Linked DNA regions of Cricetulus griseus. The protein of the gene in region 3 binds, or shares a complex with, the protein of the main gene of each other region. Links are inferred from orthologs where the notes say so. Each region holds a gene or a part of one and is shown on either strand. Other genes may lie near its edges. The genes, in order: Flna, Itgb3 and Itga2b.

Region 1 (6,808 bases), on a different chromosome or scaffold from region 3:
TCCTCTCTGGTATGGGTGTTGCAGAGAAAGGACACACACTGGCCCTCTGTTGGGCGATGAGGAGAGGGACACGGAGGGCACTGTCATACACTGCCCTGTCTCTGGTAGTCCTTGGCAGGTACCATGACTCAAACTGGTGCCCTCTGTCTGTAGGGATTCAGGCATTATTCTGGCCTGCCCCTGTCACCTGGCAGAATGCACTCAGGCAGTACCCTGGTCAGCCCAGGGTTCCATGACTACTAGTCTCCACACAGGGGCAAAGGACCCCTTTAAAAGACCCACTTATGATCTCTTTCCCGCTGTTCCCCTGGGGCAGACAGGGCTTTTCCTGTCTCCCTCTTCTCTTCTGTCCTCTCTCTGTCTCTGTGTGTCTTTACCTCTGTTCTTTTTCCTTCCCCCTCCCTCCCCTTTCTAATAAGACTTCTCACTAAGCGCTGTCTGCCTGGCACGTTTGTCCCCTGCCTCGGTTAACCTCGCCTGCCATGGAATCCGCCAAGGTTCCCCACACACTTTGTCATATCACTGCCTGCCTTCACCTGGTTGATCCCCTCCTGACACCCACCTGAGTCTCCCTGCCTCTCTTTCAGGCCCTGGCTGCCTGGCATGTGCATGGGTATCTGCTCCTCCACTGATGTCTGCAGCCTCTGTGGGTTATTTCCAAGGTCACCTGCTGCTTGCTCCCTCTGCTCTATTCTCACCCTGCCCCCCTTGGCCTGGGCCAGCCCTCTAGAAGCCCAAGGGACTACTGGCCATTTCCTAGTGAGGTATGAGTGCTGTGACCCCCATGGCTGAGGGAAGCTCTATGAAGGCATTGTCCCCCTTTCCTTATGGGGGTGGGTGGGGGTTTGAGCAGAGTGTCTGGGCTGTCTGGCTAAGGGAGGAGGAATGGTCAGCTGGGCCTGCCCTGTGACTCACCTTACCCTTAGTCCAACCTGAACTTGCAGTCTCTGGGCCCTGCTTTCAGCTAGAGCCAATCATCTCCTGGTCCCCTTCTTGGTCTCACTGGGTGGGAGGGAAGTCAGGCAGTGGAAGACATATGGCCATGCGACCTTGATCTCTTGGCTTCCAGCACCGGTTGGCCAACAGAGCCAAGGCATGGACTCTTGTGGTTAGGCAGATTCTAGGTCATGTGGCCTTGTTGTTTGCAGAATCAGCTGAGGTGGCCACCTGCCTTTTCCTGGTAGCCTCTGGGACTGTGTGGCTGGGTCTGTCAAGAATGGTAGGCATGGGACTGGAGAGATGGTTCAGCTGCTAAGAGTACTTGCTCCTCTTCCACAAGACCCCGAATTGATCAATTCTCAGCATCCATATTATGGTGGCTCACAACCATCTCTAACTCCAGACCCAGGCAATCAAATGCCCTCTTCTGGCTTCTATAGGCACCAGGAACGGATGTGGTACAGAGACATACATACAGGCAGACAATTATAGTTAATTCTTTTTTAAAAGATTTTATTTATTATGTATACAACATTCTGCCTCTACATATGCCTGCACGCCAGAAGAGGGCACCAGATCTCATTCCGGATGGTTGTGAGCCATCTTGTGGTTGCTGGGAATTGAACTCAGGACCTCTGGAAGAGCAGCCAGTGCTCTTAACCTCTGAGCCATCTCTTCAGCCCATAGTTAATTCTTTTTAAAAGGATCAATTAAGGATGGCAGGCATACTTTTGCAGGTGTCATATGCCCCTCTGTTAGTGCTGTACCTTCTTGGACTTGCCTTTGATACTTTCCCCCCTCTCCAGGTGGCTGGGAGGCAGAGGCAGGCAGATGGATCTCTGTGAGTTCATGACCAGCCTGGTCTACAGAGCGAGTTCCAGGAAACCCTGTCTCGAAGGCAAAAAGAAAAAGAAAACCCCCTGTCCAGGTGGGCAGCTTCTTGAGGTTCCCAGAGTGTTGGGCCCTACTCTCTATCCTGGCTTTTCAACAATAATACCAATGGACCAAGGGAAGGACTTTATCTAGTTGTATCTGCCTGTCTCTTGGGCAATGTCTTCTGGGCCTGGGCAGCCTCAGATGCACAAAAGTGAGGATCCCAGATATACCTGTTTCTACCTACTTCTAGTGTAGAAGTGGAGTACAGAACCTTCCAGAGTCATGGAACTGTCTTAGCTCAGCAGTTTAGTCCTTTATCCCCTGTATGTTTCTTATTGAATAACTAGCTTTTGGCCAAGTGCTCTGAAGTCCTGCCTTATGGGTTGCCAGCAGAGGTCATGCCAATGAGTTGAGTGCTAGGAGCTGAAAGAGGATATAACCTGCAGTGTAGGTCTTGTCCCAGATAACCTGACTTCTTGGCCCTTGACTACAGATGAGTGAAGTGATGACAGTGGGCTTGAGAGCCTTGCATAGGGCTAGGTCCGTTTCAAGGAGATATCCCAGCCATCTGTAGGTTTCACTGGGAGCTAGAATGTTGTTTAATTTTAGCTCTAGGGGACACAGGGAACCATCCTCATACAAAGGATGCAGAAAGGGGTTACTGAGACCAAGAGATTTCCCCACTGCATTTGTAGCAAGGAGGCTCTATATTACAAGTCGCATTTGAGGATAGAAGAGAGGACCATCAAGAATACTTAGGAATGGCTGGGCATTGGTAGCGCACGCCTTTAATCCCAGCACTCAGGAGGCAGAGGCAGGCCGATCTCTGTGAGTTAGAGGCCAGCCTGGTCTCCAGAGCAAGTGCCAGGATAGGCTCCAAAGCTACACAGAGAAACCCTGTCTCAAACAAAAAACAAAAACCAACCAAAAAAGAATACTTAGGACCAGAGCACTATGCTTCCTTCCGTAGGAATGGGTATCCCTCCTTCATTGATGAAGAAGTATATACACTCTGTTGTAAGAGGGAGAATCTTTGTAATGGTGCCTTATTTTGTGCGTTTGAGACCAGCCTAGTCTACATAATGAGTTCCAAGCCAGCCAAGGTTACATAGTGAGACCCTGTCTCCAAAATATCAAAATAAGCCAAGCAGTGGTAGGGCACACCTTTAATTCTAGCACTCAGGAGGCAGAAGCAGAGGCAGATGGATCTCTGAGTTGGAGGCCAGCCTGGTTTCCAGAGTGAGTTCAGGACAGCCAAAGCACCTCAAACCCACCTCAAAAGCCAAACACTAAGAGCTGGTATTATTATGTTCATGGTATCTAAGAGACGGCTAGGCCTTGATGCTATTTCTAAGACAGTTTACCTGATCATCACTGCTAGCGATCACCAACTAGCTAGCAATTAATCTTAATGCCCCACATTTTGCCTACTTGATCCTATGCCATTCTAGGTACATCATATACCCATCTCTGTGAAACAAAGAGCAAATACAGACTGTGCTACCTGGAGATCCCACAGCCTATACCTATGCCTTGTTGGTACCCTTGCCAGTTTGGACTTCATCACTCTTTCCATGAAAGATACAGACACTCACAGGACAATGGAAGCAAAATTTTATTCCTCTTGTCTGGGAAAGAGAACTAGCAAGTGGTTGTACATAGAACTCCCACCCTCCCAGAACCAAAGGAGTCAGGCGCTGCCACCAAATGGCTCCCTTTACCCAAGTGAAAGCCCAGAGAGGCAGGTGAGCACAGCGCAGGGCAGGGGAGACTGCAGTGACAGAGTGGCCAGAGTGATCTAAGGGAGGGCCCAGGGCTCAGGAAAGGAAAATGGACTTCTTGGGGGTGGGACAGGTGTGAGGTTGCTCTTTGCTATGGGAGATTCTGGCTGGCATAGTTGTCAGGCTCAGGGCACCATAATGCGGTATGGGCTGCCTGGGATATGCTCATCACCCCACTTGACCACCAGTGTGTACTCCCCTTTGTCCTTGAGCAGGTAGGAGACACTGTAGAGACGGCTGCCCATGTGTTTCACCAGGATCTCTTCACAGGGTGTCCTTGGGCCATGCACCCCCACCAGCAGCATGTTGTTACCTGAGGTAGGAATAGGCCTCAGTGACTAGCCTTAACCCCTTCCTTCAGCTGTAATTGCTCTGAGCCCTTCTTCCTATTCTACATCCTGTTCCTTGCCTGTTTAGAACAATACCCCTTCCCAACAAGCTTCTCATACCCCACCTAGGCCACCAGAAGACAAATCCCAGGTCTTCCAGGACATTTTCTTCACAGACACAGACAGACAGACAGACAGACAGACAGACAGACACACACACACACACACACACACACACACACACACACACACACACACACACGTACGTCTTTTAGACAGGGTTTCACTGTGCCTTGACTGTCTTGGAACTAGCTCTGTAGACCAGGCTTGCCTTGAACTCAGAGATCTGCCTCCCATGTGTTGGGATTAAAGGGGTGTGCCACCACCAACTGGCAATGCATTTTACATGCATTGGTGTTTTGCCTACATGTATGTCTGTGTGAGGGTGTTGGATTCCCTGAAACTGGAGTTATAGATAGTTGTGAACTGCCATATAGATGGGTGCTTGGACTTGAACCTGAGTCTTCAAAAAAGAAAGGAAGAAAGGAAGAAAGAAAGGAAGGAAGGAAGGAAGGAAGGAAGGAAGGAAGGAAAGAAAGAAAGAAAGAAAGAAAGAAAGAAAGAAAGAAAGAAAGACTGATTATATAAACTGGGCAGTGGTGGCACATGCCTTTAGTCCCAGCACTCAGGAGGCAGAGGAGGCAGGTGGATCTCTGAGTTTGAGACCAGCCTGGTCTACAGAGTGAGTGCCATATAGGCTCCACCCTGTCTCAAAAAAAAAAACAAAATAACAAAAAAAAACCCACAAAACCCAGGTCCTCTGGAAGAGCAACCAGTACTCTTAACCACTAAGCTACTTCTCCAGGAAGCCCAAATATAAAGTAGCCCCCAAAGCAACAATCATACCCCTAAGTTCCTGTACTTTCCACATGTTGACTGTCTTGTGATTTCTGACTTTGTACTTCCAGAGCTAGAAACAGGGATACTTACCTGCTTTGCTGCAGTCTACTGTGAAGCTGCTCTTCTGGCCTACATAGGCCTTGCTCAGCCCCAGGCCTTTGGCTACTACCTTGCTGACATCAGTGGGACTTGGGCCTGAGGTTGCAAGCTGGGGAACAGTGGCAACTTTTGTCAGGGAGTCCACAAATACAGATGTTGTCTCATGAAGACTGTGGTTACTAACAAGACGGGGACCTGCAGGACAGAATAGGTGAAACTGAGAAGTAGCTAGAGAATATCAAGGCATTGAATGGGCACCAACAGCTTAGCCTGGGGCTCACCTGTGACCTTGGCTTTGAAGGGGCTTCCCCCAATGTGATAGGGCCCACCATACTTGATGGAGATGAGGTAGCTTCCGGGTGCCATAGGGGTATAGGTGACACGGTAGCCCTCAGGGCACTCCTGGCAATCCATCTTCACCTTGGAGGGGCCATCAATGGTAACGGAAAGGGCACCAGCTCCTGCATTGCTTGTGTTGACGATAAACTCAGCTGGGCTCCCTGGGAGCATGGAAGGTCAGGCAGAGTGTATGTCACTGGCTCTCCTGTCTTCAGCCACCCAGCACAGCCTTGATACTTCCACATGCTTCCTGTTGCTAAGAGCTTGGATGCAGGGCCCTAACAACTGCATCCACACTCAGAAATATACCCATGAACCTACCTGTGACACCACCTTCCAGGCCTGCTCCATAGGCGGACACCAAGCCTGGGTCCCCTCCATGCCCAGGCTCCCCAACTCGGATCTTGAAGGGACTTCCAGGGATATGAGTACCATTGAACTTAACATCAATCAAGTAGATGCCATTCTCTCGTGGGATGAAACGCACAGCATACTTATCTGAGATGCAGAAGGACATGTCATGGGCCTAGGGTACTTTTCAGTATTTAACAAGCAAATGGTATCTAAAAGGAATAGCCTTAGTACTAACCATCCCTTTCATTTTTCTTGCCACCAGCAGGAACTCAACTGCTCCATGGAGACCCCTCTGCTTCCAGAACTGTACTGGGTACCCACCCCAACAACACATACATCCTGAGGACTAAGATTATAGATACCTAAGAAGTCTACTGTTGAGTCCTTTGGACTGACAAGCAAAATGCCCACATTGTTGCCTCCTTAGACCATGTACTGTTAATACCATGCTAGCAACAGATTAGCAGCAGGTTTAGCAAGGAATTTGCTTCAGGTCATGGACCTGTGGGGAGGGGGAAAACTAGTATGCTTCAATAGAACTGCTATTCCTCTAGCCACAGGGATAGACTGTCTCTGTCTCTGTGTCATGTATGGCACTTCTAAGGCTTTCTTCCTAGTGGCCATGCTGGAAAGCCATTATCTTCATGGGTGTTTTATCAATCTGGAAAGCTGAGGAGCCCAATTTTGATTGCTTACAGAATCATTATTTTCCATGTGTACACTCAAGCCTGGTTTTAGTCCAATAGGGCAGATGGCTGGATGGCTAGACAGGGATAGAGCCTCACCTTGGTCAATCTCTGTGACATAGCACTCCTCCAGAGCTCCTGAGGGGCTGTGCACCTTGGCATCAATTGCCCCCTTGGCTCCATTCAGACTGACTGCAAAAGAGGCTGGCTGGTTGACCTTTAACCCTGACTCCTAGAAGCACAGCAGATGTGGTTAGACAGGATGGCTAGAGCCAGGGAAAATGGAAGAGTAGGAGACCCACAGGGTAACTTACCCATCTGGTATCCAACATGGTTTAAAGAGGGAGAGCCATTGATCTGTGAGGGCAGCAAGCCACAGACACACCCCCAACCTCCTATCCCCTAAATGTGTACTCAACAATTACACACCCAGGCAGCAGAAAGGGAAGGTGGCCCCACCCTATAGGTAGCACTCAGCTCTAGCAGGCTGTCCCTCTTTAAACCT
Region 2 (7,757 bases), about 2.0 Mb from region 3:
CAGTTTGAAGTTATCAATAGGCCTGGGGGTGGGGGGGTGCACTGAATTTGCAATAAGGAACAACTCGGATCCTTCAGGCTCAAAATTACAGTTCCCAGGATGGAGAGACAGCTTGCATTGCCAACATGAGGACCTGAGTTCAGATCTCCAGCACCATGCTTTAAAAAAAAAAAGCTAAACTCAGTGGCACATGTGTGTAATCCCAAAATTAGGAAACAAAAACAGTTGGATCCCTGGAGTTCAGACAGCCAGCCTAGCCAACTGGTCAGCCCCAGGGTCAATGAGAGATCTAATCTCAAAGCATAACATGGAAAGTGATTGAAAAAGACACATAAATCTAGCTCTGGGATGGGCGTTGGTGGCGCATACCTTTAATCCCAGCACTCGGTAGGCAGAGGCAGGCCAATCTCTGTGAGTTCGAGACCAGCCTGGTCTACAGAGCAAGTTCCAGGACAGCCTCCAAAACAATACAGAGAAACCTTGTCTCTAAAAATCAAAAAAAAAAAAAAGTCTATCTCTGGTCACTATACCTATATACACACATGCATGCCTCGTGTGGGAGCACGCACACACACACACACACACACACACACACACACACACACAATTTTAATCTGCTGGTAGGAAGTCACTATGGCAACATTATCCAGTGGAACTTCCTGCAATGTCAACATGTTCAATATCTGCATGGTCCAATATGATAGCCACTAGCCACATGAGGCTACTGACCAACTGAAAACTGAATTTCTGTTTCTATCTCACTTAGTTAATAGCTACACATGGCTAGTGGATACCATTCTGGACAGCACATGAATACACGCAGTAAAAAACAGATGCCAAAACAAGGATAACATTTAACACAGGTACACCACTTCCCAAACACTGTTCTGGTGCCCCCAACGTCCTGCATATATATCACTACTGTCTACTGGTGATAGAACGATAAAGTCATGTAAAATGATTATGAACTTTACAGTATATTCCGATATCATATATTTTCTGTCTGTAAACACTAACAGTTTAATTACCAAGAGACTGGTTTCTTTAGTTGAAAACTAAGTCAGTCCTTATATTCAAAAGGATTAGGAACCTGAAATATCAGAGTGAGAAGAACAAAAAGCAAAACAAGCTACCTCTCCTTGACGTTTCTCCACTCCTGCCTACCTCCAGCTTAGCTTCCTATGCCCCACGAACAAGCTAAAAGATCCGGTTCCCTCCCTCCTCTGCTTATGTCTGGGTTTCCACTCTGAGTGAAATGGATTCTCAGTTCTGCCCACCTTGCCAGCCTCAAGCCTTCCGAGTGTTTCCCAAGGCACCGGGGTGTGTATACATGCACGGCTACCGAGCACACGGGTGTACACTTCTACTGAGGTGTGTATGCATGCATGGCTACCGAGCACGCGGGTGCAGGCTTCTACTCACCAGAGCACATCTCCCCTTTGTAGCGGACACAGGAGAAGTCATCGCACTCACAGAACTTGCCAGTGATCTTGCCAAAGTCACTACTGTGACAGACACACTGGCCGCAGAGGCACTCGCCTCTCTGGCTGCAAATGGGTTGGCCCTCCTTGGAGACGCACTCTTCCTGCTGGGAGGGTCGGTAGTCCTCCTCAGAGCACTCACACATGGCTCCCAGCCAGCCCTGGTCACAGCGGCACACTCCACACTCAAAGGTCCCATTGCCGTTGTTGCAGCGTGGGCTGAGAGGCTGGGCAGAGGCCTGGCAGGCACAGTCACAGTCAAAGGAGACCTGGACAGTAAGGCTATCCTTAAAGCCCACAGGCTTGATAGTGAAAGACTGCTCTTTCTCCTTGGGGCAGCCGCGTACCTTGGCCTCGATGCTAAAGCTCACCTGGATGGAAAGATGACATTCAGACCTAAGTGGATCTGAGAAATGCTACGATGCACCCTACCAAGGAAAACAAAACTAGGTGTCTGAATTCAACCATCCCAGGGGGTTCCGTGACCTTAATACTATCAAAGTCTACAGAGTAACAACGACAGTGGCATAGAAGTTACCACTGTGACACATCTGACTGGACAGATGGTTACAGACAAGCAATAGAAGGCTGTTCTATTCCCGAGAGAGAAACCAGCTGAAGCAGGACAGAATCAGTGATTTTTGTGAGCACTACACTAGCCAACTAAGCCAGCTGGAGGATCAATGTTGCATATTAACAGCAAGACAACAAGATTCTGCTTTGTGCCACACCATGCCAAAGAGTGGTTAATCAGTCCCAAACTGAAGGATACTGTATAAGGCATCATTGCAGCGTGTGAAGTGTGGGGCTGTGGACATACATGCTTGGAAAATAAGCTTACAGGGCAATGGACCAAAAGATTGACTTCTTGTCATTCCTCCCTGCCATCCACCAGTCTCTTAGGTAGAGCAGAGGAGGACCAGCACACAAAGAAAACCCGGGCAGCTAGAGAGATAACTCAGCAGTGAAGAATGCTGGCTGCTCTTCCAGAGGACCTGGGTTCAAATCCACATGGCAGATCACAACCCTCTGTAACTCTAGTTCCAAGGAATCAGATACCATCTTCTGGCCTTCACAGGTACCAGGCACCCACATGATACATAAATATGCACATAGGCAAAATAACCATATGCATAAAATGCAAAACAATAGCCATCAAGAAAACCATGGAGGGAATGCAGGGGCAATATGAGCATCTGCACTCTTAAGTGAGTCTCAAGGGGTCCAGGTATTTTTTCCTGTCCACTTGCTGCTGGATTTTCATCACCCAGAATAAAGCCTGGCGCACAGTCAGTGCTCAGCTAAAGTCTACAGATGATATACTGCCATTTTATGTCACAGAGAAAAGAAAGGCACTACTCTGGGTGAGTAGATAAGAGATCATTTCATTTGCAATCAGATATACAGGTGTGAATATCTCAAAAACTGATGGAGATGTTAACTCAGTGGATACAGAAACTTTAGGCAGCAGAAGCTTCAAGAGGAAAGGTTAAGAGCTCTTGAACTTCTAATCTGAAAAGGGTTGGAGTACACACAGACTCTGGGGTCCACGTCACAGCTTCAGTATCAGTCCCTGCCTCGCCCACTGCCCACCTTACCGTGTCTCCAATCTTGAGTCCCACACAAGACTTGAGGCCTGGGATGACCTCATTGTTGAGGCAAGTGGCATTGAAGGATAGTGACAGCTCTTCAGGGAGGTCACGCACTTCCAGCTCCACTTTGGAGCGGATTTTCTGAGCAGAAAGGGACAAAAGAAAGTAAAGACACAGACAAAGGCCAAAAGCATCCCACGCAAAGCCAACCCAGAGGCCTGGGACGTGCTTTGGTAGTGCCGGATGCTGAGGGTTATCTGCCCGTTGCTGCCAGAATGTCTCTGTACTCAGTTGCCTCTTTTGTGTGTGGCTAGGACCTGGCTCTCCCTCATTCTGCCCTACAGATGCTCCTTGTCAATCTGGCCCGCATCTACAGTCCCCTCCACCTCTAAGCGCCCCACTCACCGTCCGTTCTGCCCTAGCCTTCCTTTCTCTCCCACCTCCTTTCCAGAAGATGTCATCTCTCCCAGGGCTGGCCATCCTCTAGGAGCACAAGAGGAAAGCAGGAAGGCCACATGGGAGAATGGCAGCCTAGGGCTCCCAATGCTGAGCTCTGTCATAACATGGGCCTGCATCTTTAGGCATGATCCCACAGGCAAACCAGGCCACGCACTCCAGCTCGCTTTGGGACAGAGTTCCAAAGCAGTTTGTACCGTGACTTGACAGTTGTCATTGTAGAATACTTGGCTTCTCTATGTGCTGTGTTCAACTAAATCACATGATATGAAACTTCCTGCCACTCCTAAAAACATAAAAAGCCAGACCTTTCCTTTGTTCTAGGAATTGGTCTAGAGAGAAAGGCTGCTTTTGAAGAGGGTCTCTTTGCCTTCACGCTCATGAACATTGTCTCTCTTTGGCTCCCCCTACCCACTCTCCTCCTGACCTCTCTCGATCTCACTCTTCTGTGTTTGTTTGTTTGTTTGTTTGTTTGGTTTTTCGAGACAGGGTTTTTCTGTGGCTTTGGAGGCTGTCCTGGAACTAGCTCTTGTAGACCAGGCTGGTCTCAAACTCACAGAGATCCCCCTGCCTCTGCCTCCCGAGTGCTGGGACTAAAGGAGTGCTCCACCACTGCCCAGCTTCGCTCTCACTCTTAATAAAGCTCCTCTTCAGGCTTTAAAGGGACACCTCTTGTCCCCTTTAAGGCCCTATTATGTTTAGACCTCCCTATTATATTGTTTCCATCTAATGCCTCCCTTCCACCTCCAGGCCCAAGCATGGCCTTGAGGCCCATTCATTTTAAGAAATTTCAATCCTGGGGGGAATTTACATGTCAGGCTCCCATTGTAGAGGGACCACTGCATCCCACTTTTACTTCTTTTTAACACCCTCTGCTCAATGAGCCACATCCAGCAGACTCGACCAGCCCTCCCAGGCCAATATTCTTACCCCATAAGCATCAACAATGAGCTGGAGGACATTGCTTGAGTCAACAGACAGGATTCCCACTGTGGTCCCCGGAATGAGCTCACTATAATTCTAGAAAGGAAGACAAAGATGTCCACAGCTTGCTCAAGGAAAGTGGTCTCCTCAAAGTCCCCCTAGTCAGTCTTTTGGGGGGTGGGGGGCATCAAGACAGGGCTTCTCTGTGTAGCCCTGGCCGTCCTGGAATTCACTCTGTAGGCCAGGCTGGCCTCAAACTCAGAGATCTGCCTGCCTCTGCCTCTCAAGTGCTTTAATTAAAGGCGTGTGCCACCACTGCCAGACTGACAGTCTTAAAGTGAAGTTGTGAGGACACTGTGGGATGCCTCACTTGTCACTACCAGAACAGATCTATCAGATTTTCATATCTGAGGGAAAAGTAAGAAACCTTTTTACTCCCCTCCCCCAACTGATTTATCTCCTCACCATCATCTCAAACATCTACACCCTCTTCCTAGCAGGTTAGAGGCTGAAGGAAAAAGGCTATAGGGAGTTATGTTAAGTACCCAGAGAATGAGTTTTAAAAGGATTTTTTTCCTGGTTGGGTCCATGGCCACCTGGGACAGGTCCATCTGTGGCAACAGGACGGAAGCCCCAGAGGCATAGTTACCTGGTAGAGGTTGGCCACGTCTGCAGTGACTGCGAAGATCAGGTTAATGTTATTCTGGGATAGTTTCTCAGTCATCAGCCCCAGAGACGGGTAATCCTGGAAAAGAGGGAAAGGTTCATGGGGATATCGCCAAGGAAATGTGAAACTTAAAACATTTATGCACTAATCAAAGTGAGGTGTTGTGGTTTGGACATGGCTCCAGTGTGTCCCTTGGGTTTCATGTGATGAAATTGAATTCACACTGTGAGATGCTTGGGTGGGGGGGGGATGAAGACAAGCCCCGCCCCCCAACAGTACTGGGGAGTAGAGTATTCGGGAAGTATGGTTAGAGGTCATTACAGCAAAGCCCCCAGAGTTGAATCCCACTAGTGTCATGAGAGGAGAACAATGAAAACAGAAACCCATACACACACTCCCTGACCTCTGCTTCATGCCGGCCTGAGTCTTGGGACTCAGCCAGCAAGATGACCACCAGATGTGGTCTCTCAAACTCGCAAGTTCTAAGAACAAAACTGAAGTTCTTTTCTGGCTTACTGTTAGCAACAGAAAGTGGATATGAAATGAAAGTTGCTATATGAGTGAGAAGGGCAATGCAGTGCAAGCTTAGCAAAGAACCCTAAGCTGGTGGTGTTCCAAAGCCAAGCACCTTCCTTCCCACTCAGATTCAAACCAGCTCCATGAGTTAAGGCCCACCGTTGCAGAGCTGTGGGCAAATGTCCTAGCCTCGCTCTACTGATCAACCAACACGTGACCAACAACCATCACTCACCCCTACTCCTCTTCTACCAGGCACTGCTCTAGCTCACTCCTCCTGCGAGTGACCTTCATCTTGGCAATCCTCCTCCTTCCTTAGCCAAAGCTCACCTCCTCCAAGAGGCCTTCCTTGACCACCCCAGCTCCTAAGGAGCTTTCCTCTTCCGGCTGCCAATAGCCCTTGACTGTATAACACACTTAGCATTCAGCATGCATTCGCTGCTATTGATAAATGTGCTGGAATATATCCTCTCTCTTCATCTAAACAAAAAAACTTGTAGGAGTAGGTCCTTATAGCTTTTTCATCTCTCGCAGCTCCTGATCAGTGCCTTGTATAGACTAGTATCAGAGTCCGATAGTGCTCAGCTTGTATATGGCTAATACCAAGGACTTGAAGAGACCAGGAAACAGTATGAACCAATATGTCCATGGGCTCATAGACCTTGCAAGGGAGCTCATGAGTTCTCTAGCTCAGTCTCCTCCCTTGAATCACTTTTAAGCCACAAAATGGTTCCTCTATTGACTAGAGAAAATAAGGAGTATGTTTTAATAATAAATAAGGTTTTGTTTCTTATTTAAAAATAAACAGTAGGCTGGGGATGGCCTGGTGGATGAGCAATTATCTAATATACTATGAGACGTTGAATTCAATTTCCAGACTAAGGGAAAAAAAAAAAAAAACAGGCATGGTGGTATAAGCTTCTAATCCCAATACTCAGAAGGTTGAGGCAGAGGACTGCAAGGAGAAAACCAGCCTGGGCTATATATAGAACAAGGCCCTTTATCATTTAATCAATTAATTAAAATCAGGTATATTGTCAAATTACTGTAACCCCACTGATGTGAAGGTGATGGCAGAGGACTAAGAATTACAAGTTAACCTGGACTGCATGGCAAAGCCCTGACTCAAGAAAATGAAGGGGGGTAGGGGGACAAGACAGGTAAAAAAAAAAAGTCAAGACTTTCTCCAAATACCCTAAGTGTTATTATTTTAAACTTAGCTACATTTGCCTCATGGTTGACAGTAATTCCTATTTCAATTTAAGCTCCTTTCTTCTTATTTAGTTAACTGTCTATGGTTAAATAAAACACATGAAATAACTTTTCATAAGTTTTCTTACCTATCATCCTAAATTATCCACAAACATCTTTCTTTCAAACCGAATGACTCTGTGCCCTTTAACCTTTCCTCAAGAGGCTCTGCTCTCTGGGTTTTACCTTTGTCCTTTTCTCCCCCTTGTCTTTCCCCAGTAACCACAAATGAGCTTGATTCCAAGAAGGGACCCATCCACAGAGGAAGGAGGGAAGAGAGTTTTCTAGCTGTGCCTTCCCACATTTTGGATGGCAAGATGCTGTTGCTGGTGCTGACGACTGCGGAGTCAGTGTGACGCCCTGGGTGAGGGTGCCCTATTGGGATGTGGCAGAAACAGGCACTAACTGAGCCCCATATAATGCCCAGAAGTAAGTCTGTTTTCAAATTCACACAAAAGCCTTGCCTGGAATAAAACAGCCCTATCAGAGTGAACAAGGACCACAGTGGGACCAGGCATCTCACCATGGTAGTAGAGGCAGAGTAATGGTTGTCACTGCCAATGTGACACTGTCCATCGTTGGGCAGGACAATGCCTGCCAGCCTTCCATCCAGTGCAATGTGGGTCTTGGCATCAGTGGTAAACACCAGCAAATGGGATGCATCATTCCTCCAGCCAATTTTTTCCTGTTTTGAAAAAAAAGACACAGAGACTTCAGCTATGTCATCCGCACTGAACAAAGACTGCAGAACCTCCATTCCTCAAGAGCTGGACAAGCTGTATTGGAGACGGACCTCAGCCCCAAGCCTTGAACATAAACAAGAGCTTTCTAATTCAGGCTTTGTTCCCTTAGGGAAAAAATCACCCCATT
Region 3 (7,757 bases):
ATTGCTATAAAAGCTCCAGCAGTCCTCACTGTCCATCGAGGGAAATGTACCAACAAGATTCCATTTACTCCCAACAACTGGGTGTTGTTATCCTGTTCACTATTATTGTTAGTTTGAGACAGGGGTTTTTGTTTGTTTGTTTTTTGGTTTGGTTTGGTTTGACTGAGATAGGGTTTCTCTTTGTAACCCTGGCTGTTCTGGAACTTGCTATGAAGACCATGCTGGCCTCAAACTCACAGAGATCGGCCTGCCTCTGCCTCCCTGTGTTGGGATTAAAGATGTTCGAAACCTGGGGGCTGGAGAGATGGCTCAGAGGTTAAGAGCACTGACTGCTCTTCCAGAGGTCCTGAGTTCAATTCCCAGCAACCACATGGGGGCTCACAACCATCTGTAATGAGATCTGGTGACCTCTTCAGGCCTGCAGGCATACATGCAGGCAGAACATTGTATACATAATAAATACAATCTTAAAAAAAACGAAACAAACAAACAAAAACAACTTATGGAGGGCACCGTAGGGACCAGAAGATCACTGGTGAGGGGCAGGGTATGAAGCGAGGTGAAAACCTCAGCAGGCAAGACAGACAGCTCTCTCACCAGTGTGACTGTGAAAGGAAAAGGGGAGCCATCGTGGAATGAGGATGGGACAGCTAGATGAGGGTCCCTGTGACGCCTGGGAATGCAGACACTCCATCCAGAGGCAGGAGATACCGATTCAAAGGTCACATAGAGAAAGCAGGAAGAGAGTGAGCAATAGGGCCCCTTAAGGAAGGAAACCGAATTGACAGCTTGGAAGACTGGAGAAAGTTAGAAACAAGTGCTGTGAGGAAATCCACAAGATGGTTGGGAGACCCCCAGGGTCCCAAGGAAGGCTGGCAATTAGGAGGCCACAGTGCCCATCTGCTCTGCATCTCCTGCCACCCTGAGCTGAATTAACTCCAGATAGAGTCTGACCAGGCTGATCCGAAACTGGCCATGGGGCAAGAATCAAATGGTCAGTAAATCCATGAAGACCAAAACCAGGACAGATACGAGGCCAGGGACTCGAGGACACCATTGTGGTCAGAGGCCTCTGTTTTGTTTTTGTTTTTTGAGACAGGGTCTCCTTGTGTAGCCCTGGCTGGCCTGGAACTCACAGAGATCCACCTGCCCCTGAGTCCTGAAGGCTAGGATTAAAGACTTTTGTTTGAATTATGATTATGGTGATCAAGAAAATTGCAAAGACATACTGTAAACAAAATCAGAAGATAAAGGGAAGATGGTTAAAACACACAGACACACGTGATCCTAAACTGGTCATATATGAAAAGGACTCAGAAAATAATGAGACTGCTAACAGACACACTCTCAAGACACTTGGGTTGAGAGACCTATGATGTGGCTGTGAGTTTGTTGGCATGGTGAAGCTGAAACAGAGTTAGCATCTGGGAAATAGGCTTCAGCTAGTTTTTATTTGCTTTTCAGTTTGGTTTTGTGTTTTGAAATGGAGTCTCACTATGTAGCCCTAACTGGCCTGGAACTCAATATGTATACCAAGCTGGCCTTGAACTCACAGAGATCTACCAACCTCTGCCTCATGAATGTTGATATTAAAGGTGTGCACCAGCACACCAGGCCTACTTTTTTTTCTTCCATTACTGGGAATTGAATCTAGGACCTCACACATACTAAGAAGTTTGCTGCCCCAAGCTGGGCTCAGTTATTTAATCTTCTTAGAAAATGGGAATTAAGGGAAGGGTTGTAGCTGAGCTAATACAGAGCTGGCCTAACATGCCCAAAGCCTCACACAGCATAAGTCAAGTGTGGTGGTGCCCATAGTACCAGTCCTTCTAGCACAAGGGATATGGAGACAGGAGGAGGACTAGAAGTTCAAAGTCAGCCTCAGTTACATAAATAAGTAGAGGCCAGTTTGTGACATATACCACCCTGTCTCATGGGCATGGTTTTGAACATTTTTTTAAAGATTTTATTTATTTATTATGTATACAACATTGTACTTCCACGTATATCTGCACACCTGTTTGTTTCATTTTTGAGACAGGGTTTCTCTGTAGTTTTGGAGCCTGTCCTGGAACTCATTCTTTAGACTAGTCTGGCCTTAAACTTACAGAAATCCACCTGTCTCTGCCTCTCGAGTGCTGGGATTAAAGGCATGTGCCACCACTGCCCGGCTAGTTGGTAGGTTTTTTGAAAGAGGGAGTTATGTATCCCAAGCTGCTCTCCAGCCTCTTAGGTAGCAGAGGGTGACCTTGGGCTTCTATCCCTCCTGCCTCTGCTTCCTAGGTGCCAGGATTACTGGTATGCACTGCCACACTGGCCTGTGTTGGTTCTTGTCACTGCCACCAATGAGCTCATTCTTGCTAAAGGCCATGATGTTTTCCCAGTCCCACCTAAATGGACTGAAAGAGGAATGAGGGGGCCACTTGGCCCATTCCTTCCTCCTGCTCCAAGTACTCTCTCTTAGAGTTTTGGGCCACCAATCTCATGGTTTCTCTCCCAGCTGTTCAAACTCTGTTTCCCACAGTCACCTTCTCGGTGGTCCCTAAATGTTCTTACTTCCCAGGGTTCTACTCTGGGCCTCTTCTTATCACACGGGCTCTGGATCCCATCCACTCTTCCTAGTTCTCTCTCTCTCTCACCCTCAGGCCTCTCTGGCGGAAATGCGGAAAGCCACAGTTCTCAGTTCTCACCTAACACCCCCAAGCCCTTCAAACCCATCTAACCTAGATCTGAACTCCAGACCTCCTGGCTCCCCACTCCCACTCAACCTCCTTCTCTTCTTGACTCCAAATTCCATTTCCCATCCACCTTAATAGTCCCAACCCCAAATATCTGTAAAGTCATCCAATCGCTAACTCCAGTCTCCATCATGCTGAGATTGAGACAAACCGTCCTAAAAGGATTCCCTGAACTCTGGTACCCATTTTCCAGTCGGCAGTCAAGCCTTCCTGGGCTCCTGCTGCCCAAGGTCTCAGCCTCCCTCGTACTGGAACTGCAGGGTACTCCACCCATCTGCCCTAAACCCATCCTTTTGTTAGGGCTATTAGTGCTCTTAAGGTCAAACACAGCAGCTCTTCCACTCACCATTATAGCCATCTCGGTTGAGGTCACCCAAGGGTGCTATGGCAGATCCAAATCTCCCATAGAGCTGAGTGCCGGTCAGCAGGTGAGTGGGCTTGTCCAGAATATGGGGGCCCTGAGGTTGCATAAACAAGTACACACGGCCCACCTCGGCCAGCTTTCCGTCTGCCCTGTGCTCCATATAGAGTGGAGCCCCCACCAGTAAGTCATCCCTCCTGTGGACCACATGGGCAAGGTTAGGTGCAGCTGAGCTAGGAAGATACCAGGAATGAGGGCAGTTCTGGGCCACCCTTGGGACAAGAGAAGGGTAACTCCTGTTGCTGGCAATTGAGGACCCAACTGGGTAAGGGTAGGGCATTCATTCCCTCTTCTCACCCATCCCCATTGACATCAGTGACTGCCACAGAGTGCCCGAAATACGAAGCCATCTACAAGATGAAGAGCGTTTCAGTTTGTGTTTCTGCACGCGGCACCCTGCTAGACATTACCCGCATATCCCAAGAACCGTCTTGAGGGTGTGTGTTTTAATACCCTGATTTTGGTCACTGCCACCGCCCTCACCTGCTCTCCACGAAGCTGGTACAGCCGCTGGTAGTAGGAGTCCAAAATTTCCACCTGTATGGAGGAACACACCCAAGCGCGTCATTCACGTTTCCTCAGTGGCTTCCCACTCTCATTGCGAAAGGGTAGGGTGCTGGCGAATGTGGGGGAGTAAACAAGATGACTAGGGTCAAGGGTTTGGTGGGAGAGCGGGCACTTACCGCTCCCAAGGTCGAGCTCCAAGTGGGGGCACCCATTATGTACTCTGTGAAAAGCCAGGCTCAGCAAATCAGATCCTCAGTCCCGACTTATTCCATCCTCACATAGGGACCCCGGGGGAATTGTGCAGAGGTGCTCCTGCCCCAGGACTCCTCTTGTAGAGGTGATCCTGCCCCAGGACTCCCCTAACTGCATTCCTTGCCTGTAGTGCTCGGATCCCCATCGAACTCGCCCACGGCCACCGAGTACCCTGAAAGCACAGCACAGCTTAGTGTTTAAGGCAACGAGGAAGACCTCGGTCAGGAAAGGAGGGTCATGAGAAGCGAGGTTATCAGCACAAACTGCATTGTGCAGGTGGGAAAACGGAGGCGTGCCCAAGATCTCACTTGAGTCCAAGGAGAGAAGGGTGAGCCAGTTTGGATGGGAGTTGAACAAGCGTGGTGGAAGAGGCAGGAACAGGGGGCGGGGTGCCTTTGTGCTGGGGTTGACTAGCTAAGATTGGCATAAAGGCACGAACAGGGGCCTGGGAAGCCTGGAAAGGAGATGCCAAGGTTACCCTGGTAGCTGTAGAAGTACGCTGGGTTGCCGGAGTCGAAGGTGTAGTGCTGACTGGGTAAAGGCCACAAAAGGGTACCCGGGCGGTAACTAGAGATGATACTCGAAATTGGAACCCGAGCCAGGAGACCTAGGAAGGGCACAGGGACAGGAGGTGTGGGGCACCAAACGCCTGGGTCTCCCCAAACCACGGAGATGGGAGAGAGTTGGAATACTGGGCACACCTACCTAAATAAAAGTAGCCGCCGGGGGCCCCAAGTACTAGCTCCCCATCCTGAAAGGGAAGTCCTGGTCATGAGAGGGTCCTCTATCCTGGGAACAACCCTAAACCACTTTGCCTGCACATTCTTTTTTTTTTTTTTAAGATTCATTTATTATGTATACAGTGTTCTGCCTGCATATATATATATATATATATATATATATAATATATATATTATATATATATCTGCCTGCATGCAGCATAGGGCACCAGATATCGTTATAGATGGTTGTGAGCCACCGTGTGGGTGCTGGGAATTGAACTCAGGACCCATGGAAGAGCAGCCAGGGCTGAAGAGCCATCTCTCCAGCCCTGCCTGCATATTCTTTTGTTTGTTTTTAGAGACAGGGTTTCTCTGTGTAGTCCTGGCTGACCTGGCACTCGCTCTGGAGACCAGGCTGGCGTCAAACTCAAGAGATCCACCTGCTTCTGCCTCCCGAGTGCTGGGACTGAAGGCATGCGCCAACATCGCACCATTCTCATTCTCCCCACCACCCCATCTCATTTTGAGACGAGTTTTACTTTGTAGCTCAGGCTGATCTCAAACTTGCTATGTACCCGGGGCTGGCCTCAGACTTGCTATGCAGACCAGGCTGACCTCAAACTCGCGAACCTCTAGGCTCAAGCTCCAGGGAGAGCTACTCTTGCCTGCGACTTGCCTGAGTCACCACAGAGCTGAAGCCGGCCTCACAGTGTCGCATGTCTTTGTCTACAAGAGGCAAATGGGGGTCAGCCCAAGGGGCGGCTCCGCGTGCTCCCGCTTTAGCCAGGAGTCCCGCGTGGGCAAGCAAAACGATGCGGGGCGGGGAGGGCGCGGAGGCGGGGCGCCCCGGGGGCGTGGCCTAGCGGAGGGGCCGGGCTCCCGGCGCGCGAGGTCGGTGGCGGGGTGGGGTTTGCAGCTAGCAGAGGGCGGAGCCTAAGGCGGAAGGGCGCCCACTTAAGCTTGAGTAAGCCGAGCTCGTGCTGTTGGCGCGGCAAGGCGAGAACTCGGCGCGACCGCCGCTTTGGAGCTGAGCCACGAAGCAGCCGCCTACTGGGGTCTTCTCTGCCTCGCGGTTCTTTTCCAGGACATTCCAGTGCTGCCAGGGGGCGCAGGCCTGGAGCAGAGTCGCAGGGGATTGGGGAAGGGCGCGATATTCTGGCTCCCCCCGCCCCCGCCCCCGCCCCCGTGTCATTTCTCTGGACTCGCTCCCTGTGACCTGTCCGCAGTGCCCACCACAATGACGTCATTCCAGGTGACCACCGACGCCCCAAGTCCTTGCCCGGTCTTGAAGGTCTGGAAAGTCTGGAAGCCTGCCTGACGGGTCTCGTCCCCTGGAGGGCACAAGAAAGGGAGGAGCTCCGGAGCCCCGCCCAGCACTTCCACCTGGCTCCGCCGCCCCCTCCGTGCCGGAGACTCACTTAGGTCGAAGGTCAACGGGGTGCAATTGCCGCCAGTGGCCTTCCAGGGGCACAGGAACACGCCGCCGGTCTCCTCCTGACTTGGGCTTAGGGCCCTGGGGGCGCCCACCACGATGGACACACTGCGTAGGAAGGCCGAGTGAGCACAGCTCGGGGTCCTTCCATCCTGCCCTGTGCCTGCCACCCCAGCAGAACCTGGAAGGAGGTGTGGCACAGGAGACACTGGGGCATCTTTCCTCACAAATACCCCATGAAGGCCAACCTCTTCATTTTAGGGGCAGCTGAAACTGGACTCTTAGGAAAGTCACCTGAGACTAAACCAGTTGGTTTGGTTTGGACGGGAAGGGTTTCATAGTCCTTGCTGAAAACGCCTGCTATGCTTCCAATAAGAACCAGACAAATCTTCTGCCTTGTCAAGCTTAATAGATGGCTTAGGGAGAGCTGTTCTGAATGGTGAAGGGTGCGGCGGGCTGAAGTGGGGATGTGGGATGTGTGATGCTGACAGACAGAGTTGAGGATCCTAGCAGACCGAAGTTTAAATCAGTTCTGCCTTATGTAAAGCAGGGGTGATATCAAGCAACTGCGCTGCTGGAAGAGTAAATGCAATAAATGTATGAGAAGGTATTCAGTACGCCCTCAGCCACATGCTTTTGTAAAAGTGTATTTGTTAATAAACACAGCATGCTTATTAAATTGTACCCATGGGACCAGAGCTTGGGGAAAGAGCAGCAGACCGAGGAAGGGGGGGAAGGAGTTGAACTGAGCTTCAGGCCCTGTGTGTTAACACTCGAGAGCTCTGAGGACAGGAGATTTTTGTTTGTCGTTTGTTTAATTATTTTATTTTTTCCATTTTACATATCAATCCCAGTACTCCCTCCCCTCATCTTGCTTCCCCCACCTTACCCTCTAGCACGGACCTGCTCCTCAGAGAGGGTATAGACTTCAGGGGGAGTCAACGAAGTCTGTCCCATCATGATGAAGCCTGACCAACTGCTCCCCCACCCCCCACCCCCGTGTTGAGCAAGGTAGCGAGGTATCTCTCCGTAGGAAATGGGCTCCAAAAAGCCAGCTCATGTACCAGGGATAGATCCTGGACCTACTTACTGCCGGTGGTCTCACAAACTGCCCAATCCACCCACTGTCACCTGCATTCAGGGGGTCTAGTTCAGTTCTATGCAGGCCCGGCAGCTGTTAAGTCTGGAGTCAGTGAGCTCCCACTAACTCTGGTCAGTTGTTTCTGTGGGTTTCCCCTTTATGATCTTGACCCCTTTGCTCATATTGTCACTCTTCCTTCTCTTCAACTGGACTCTGGTTTTGTTTTTTTGAGACAGGGTTTCTCTACGTAGCTCTGGCTGTCCTGGAACTCGCTCTGTGGCCTCAAACTCATAGGGATGCACCTGCCTCTGGCCCCCATTAAGGGGGAATAAAGCCAGATGTTGGTGGCGCATGCCTTTAATCCCAGCACTCGGGAGGCAGAGGCAGGCAGATCTCTGGGAGTTCGAGGCCAGCCTGGTCTACAGATCGAGTTCCAGGATAGGCTCCAAAACAATACAGAGAAACCCTGTCTCGAAAAGCCAAAAAAATAAAAAAATAAAATAAAGGAGAATAAAGGTGTGTGCCACCACACCCAGCTCAGGAGCTTTTATTTACTTGACAGTCTTGCTATGCAGGCCTGGTTATTTAGCTTATGGTAACCATC

Evidence for each region.
Region 1: the proteins of Itga2b (region 3) and Flna are in contact, whole or in part, in an NMR structure (PDB 7SFT), measured with the Homo sapiens proteins. The link is inferred for Cricetulus griseus from reciprocal best matches to the Homo sapiens genes ITGA2B and FLNA. Residues at the interface, in NP_000410.2 of Homo sapiens: Trp1019, Lys1020, Val1021, Gly1022, Phe1023, Phe1024, Lys1025, Arg1026, Asn1027, Arg1028, Pro1029, Pro1030; in NP_001104026.1 of Homo sapiens: Thr2263, Gly2267, Ala2268, Gly2269, Gly2270, Leu2271, Ile2273, Ala2274, Val2275, Glu2276, Gly2277, Ser2279, Ile2283, Phe2285, Asp2287, Arg2288, Lys2289, Gly2291, Cys2293, Val2295.
Region 2: the proteins of Itga2b (region 3) and Itgb3 are in contact, whole or in part, in a cryo-EM structure (PDB 8GCE), measured with the Homo sapiens proteins. The link is inferred for Cricetulus griseus from reciprocal best matches to the Homo sapiens genes ITGA2B and ITGB3. Residues at the interface, in NP_000410.2 of Homo sapiens: Gln49, Phe52, Arg72, Trp141, His143, Asn145, Glu152, Ala153, Glu154, Lys155, Pro157, Arg184, Phe191, Tyr197, Glu199, Phe202, Pro217, Tyr221, Phe222, Phe262, Asp263, Tyr265, Tyr268, Thr290, Trp293, Thr294, Gln315, Met316, Ala317, Tyr319; in NP_000203.2 of Homo sapiens: Ser188, Pro189, Tyr190, Tyr192, Ile193, Ser194, Pro195, Pro196, Tyr204, Asp205, Met206, Arg242, Asp243, Pro245, Lys279, His281, Ile282, Ala283, Leu284, Asp285, Arg287, Leu288, Ala289, Gly290, Val292, Gln293, Pro294, Asn295, Asp314, Tyr315.

What each region holds. Positions count from the first base shown.
Region 1 is NC_048604.1:1,486,677-1,493,484, reverse strand, and holds the end of Flna (filamin-A), read right to left. Parts: intron 6,536-6,808; coding exon 6,403-6,535; intron 5,762-6,402; coding exon 5,585-5,761; intron 5,425-5,584; coding exon 5,206-5,424; intron 5,120-5,205; coding exon 4,916-5,119; intron 3,910-4,915; coding exon 3,722-3,909; 3' UTR 3,407-3,721; downstream 1-3,406. UniProt on the Homo sapiens protein: Promotes orthogonal branching of actin filaments and links actin filaments to membrane glycoproteins. Anchors various transmembrane proteins to the actin cytoskeleton and serves as a scaffold for a wide range of cytoplasmic signaling proteins.
Region 2 is NC_048600.1:117,667,126-117,674,882, reverse strand, and holds part of Itgb3 (integrin beta-3), read right to left. Parts: intron 7,573-7,757; coding exon 7,411-7,572; intron 5,199-7,410; coding exon 5,103-5,198; intron 4,550-5,102; coding exon 4,460-4,549; intron 3,215-4,459; coding exon 3,080-3,214; intron 1,853-3,079; coding exon 1,423-1,852; intron 1-1,422. UniProt on the Homo sapiens protein: Integrin alpha-V/beta-3 (ITGAV:ITGB3) is a receptor for cytotactin, fibronectin, laminin, matrix metalloproteinase-2, osteopontin, osteomodulin, prothrombin, thrombospondin, vitronectin and von Willebrand factor.
Region 3 is NC_048600.1:115,637,274-115,645,030, reverse strand, and holds part of Itga2b (integrin alpha-IIb), read right to left. Parts: intron 6,181-7,757; coding exon 5,874-6,180; intron 5,755-5,873; coding exon 5,595-5,754; intron 5,367-5,594; coding exon 5,317-5,366; intron 4,670-5,316; coding exon 4,624-4,669; intron 4,526-4,623; coding exon 4,397-4,525; intron 4,091-4,396; coding exon 4,043-4,090; intron 3,887-4,042; coding exon 3,843-3,886; intron 3,697-3,842; coding exon 3,643-3,696; intron 3,510-3,642; coding exon 3,457-3,509; intron 3,297-3,456; coding exon 3,085-3,296; intron 1-3,084. UniProt on the Homo sapiens protein: Integrin alpha-IIb/beta-3 is a receptor for fibronectin, fibrinogen, plasminogen, prothrombin, thrombospondin and vitronectin. It recognizes the sequence R-G-D in a wide array of ligands.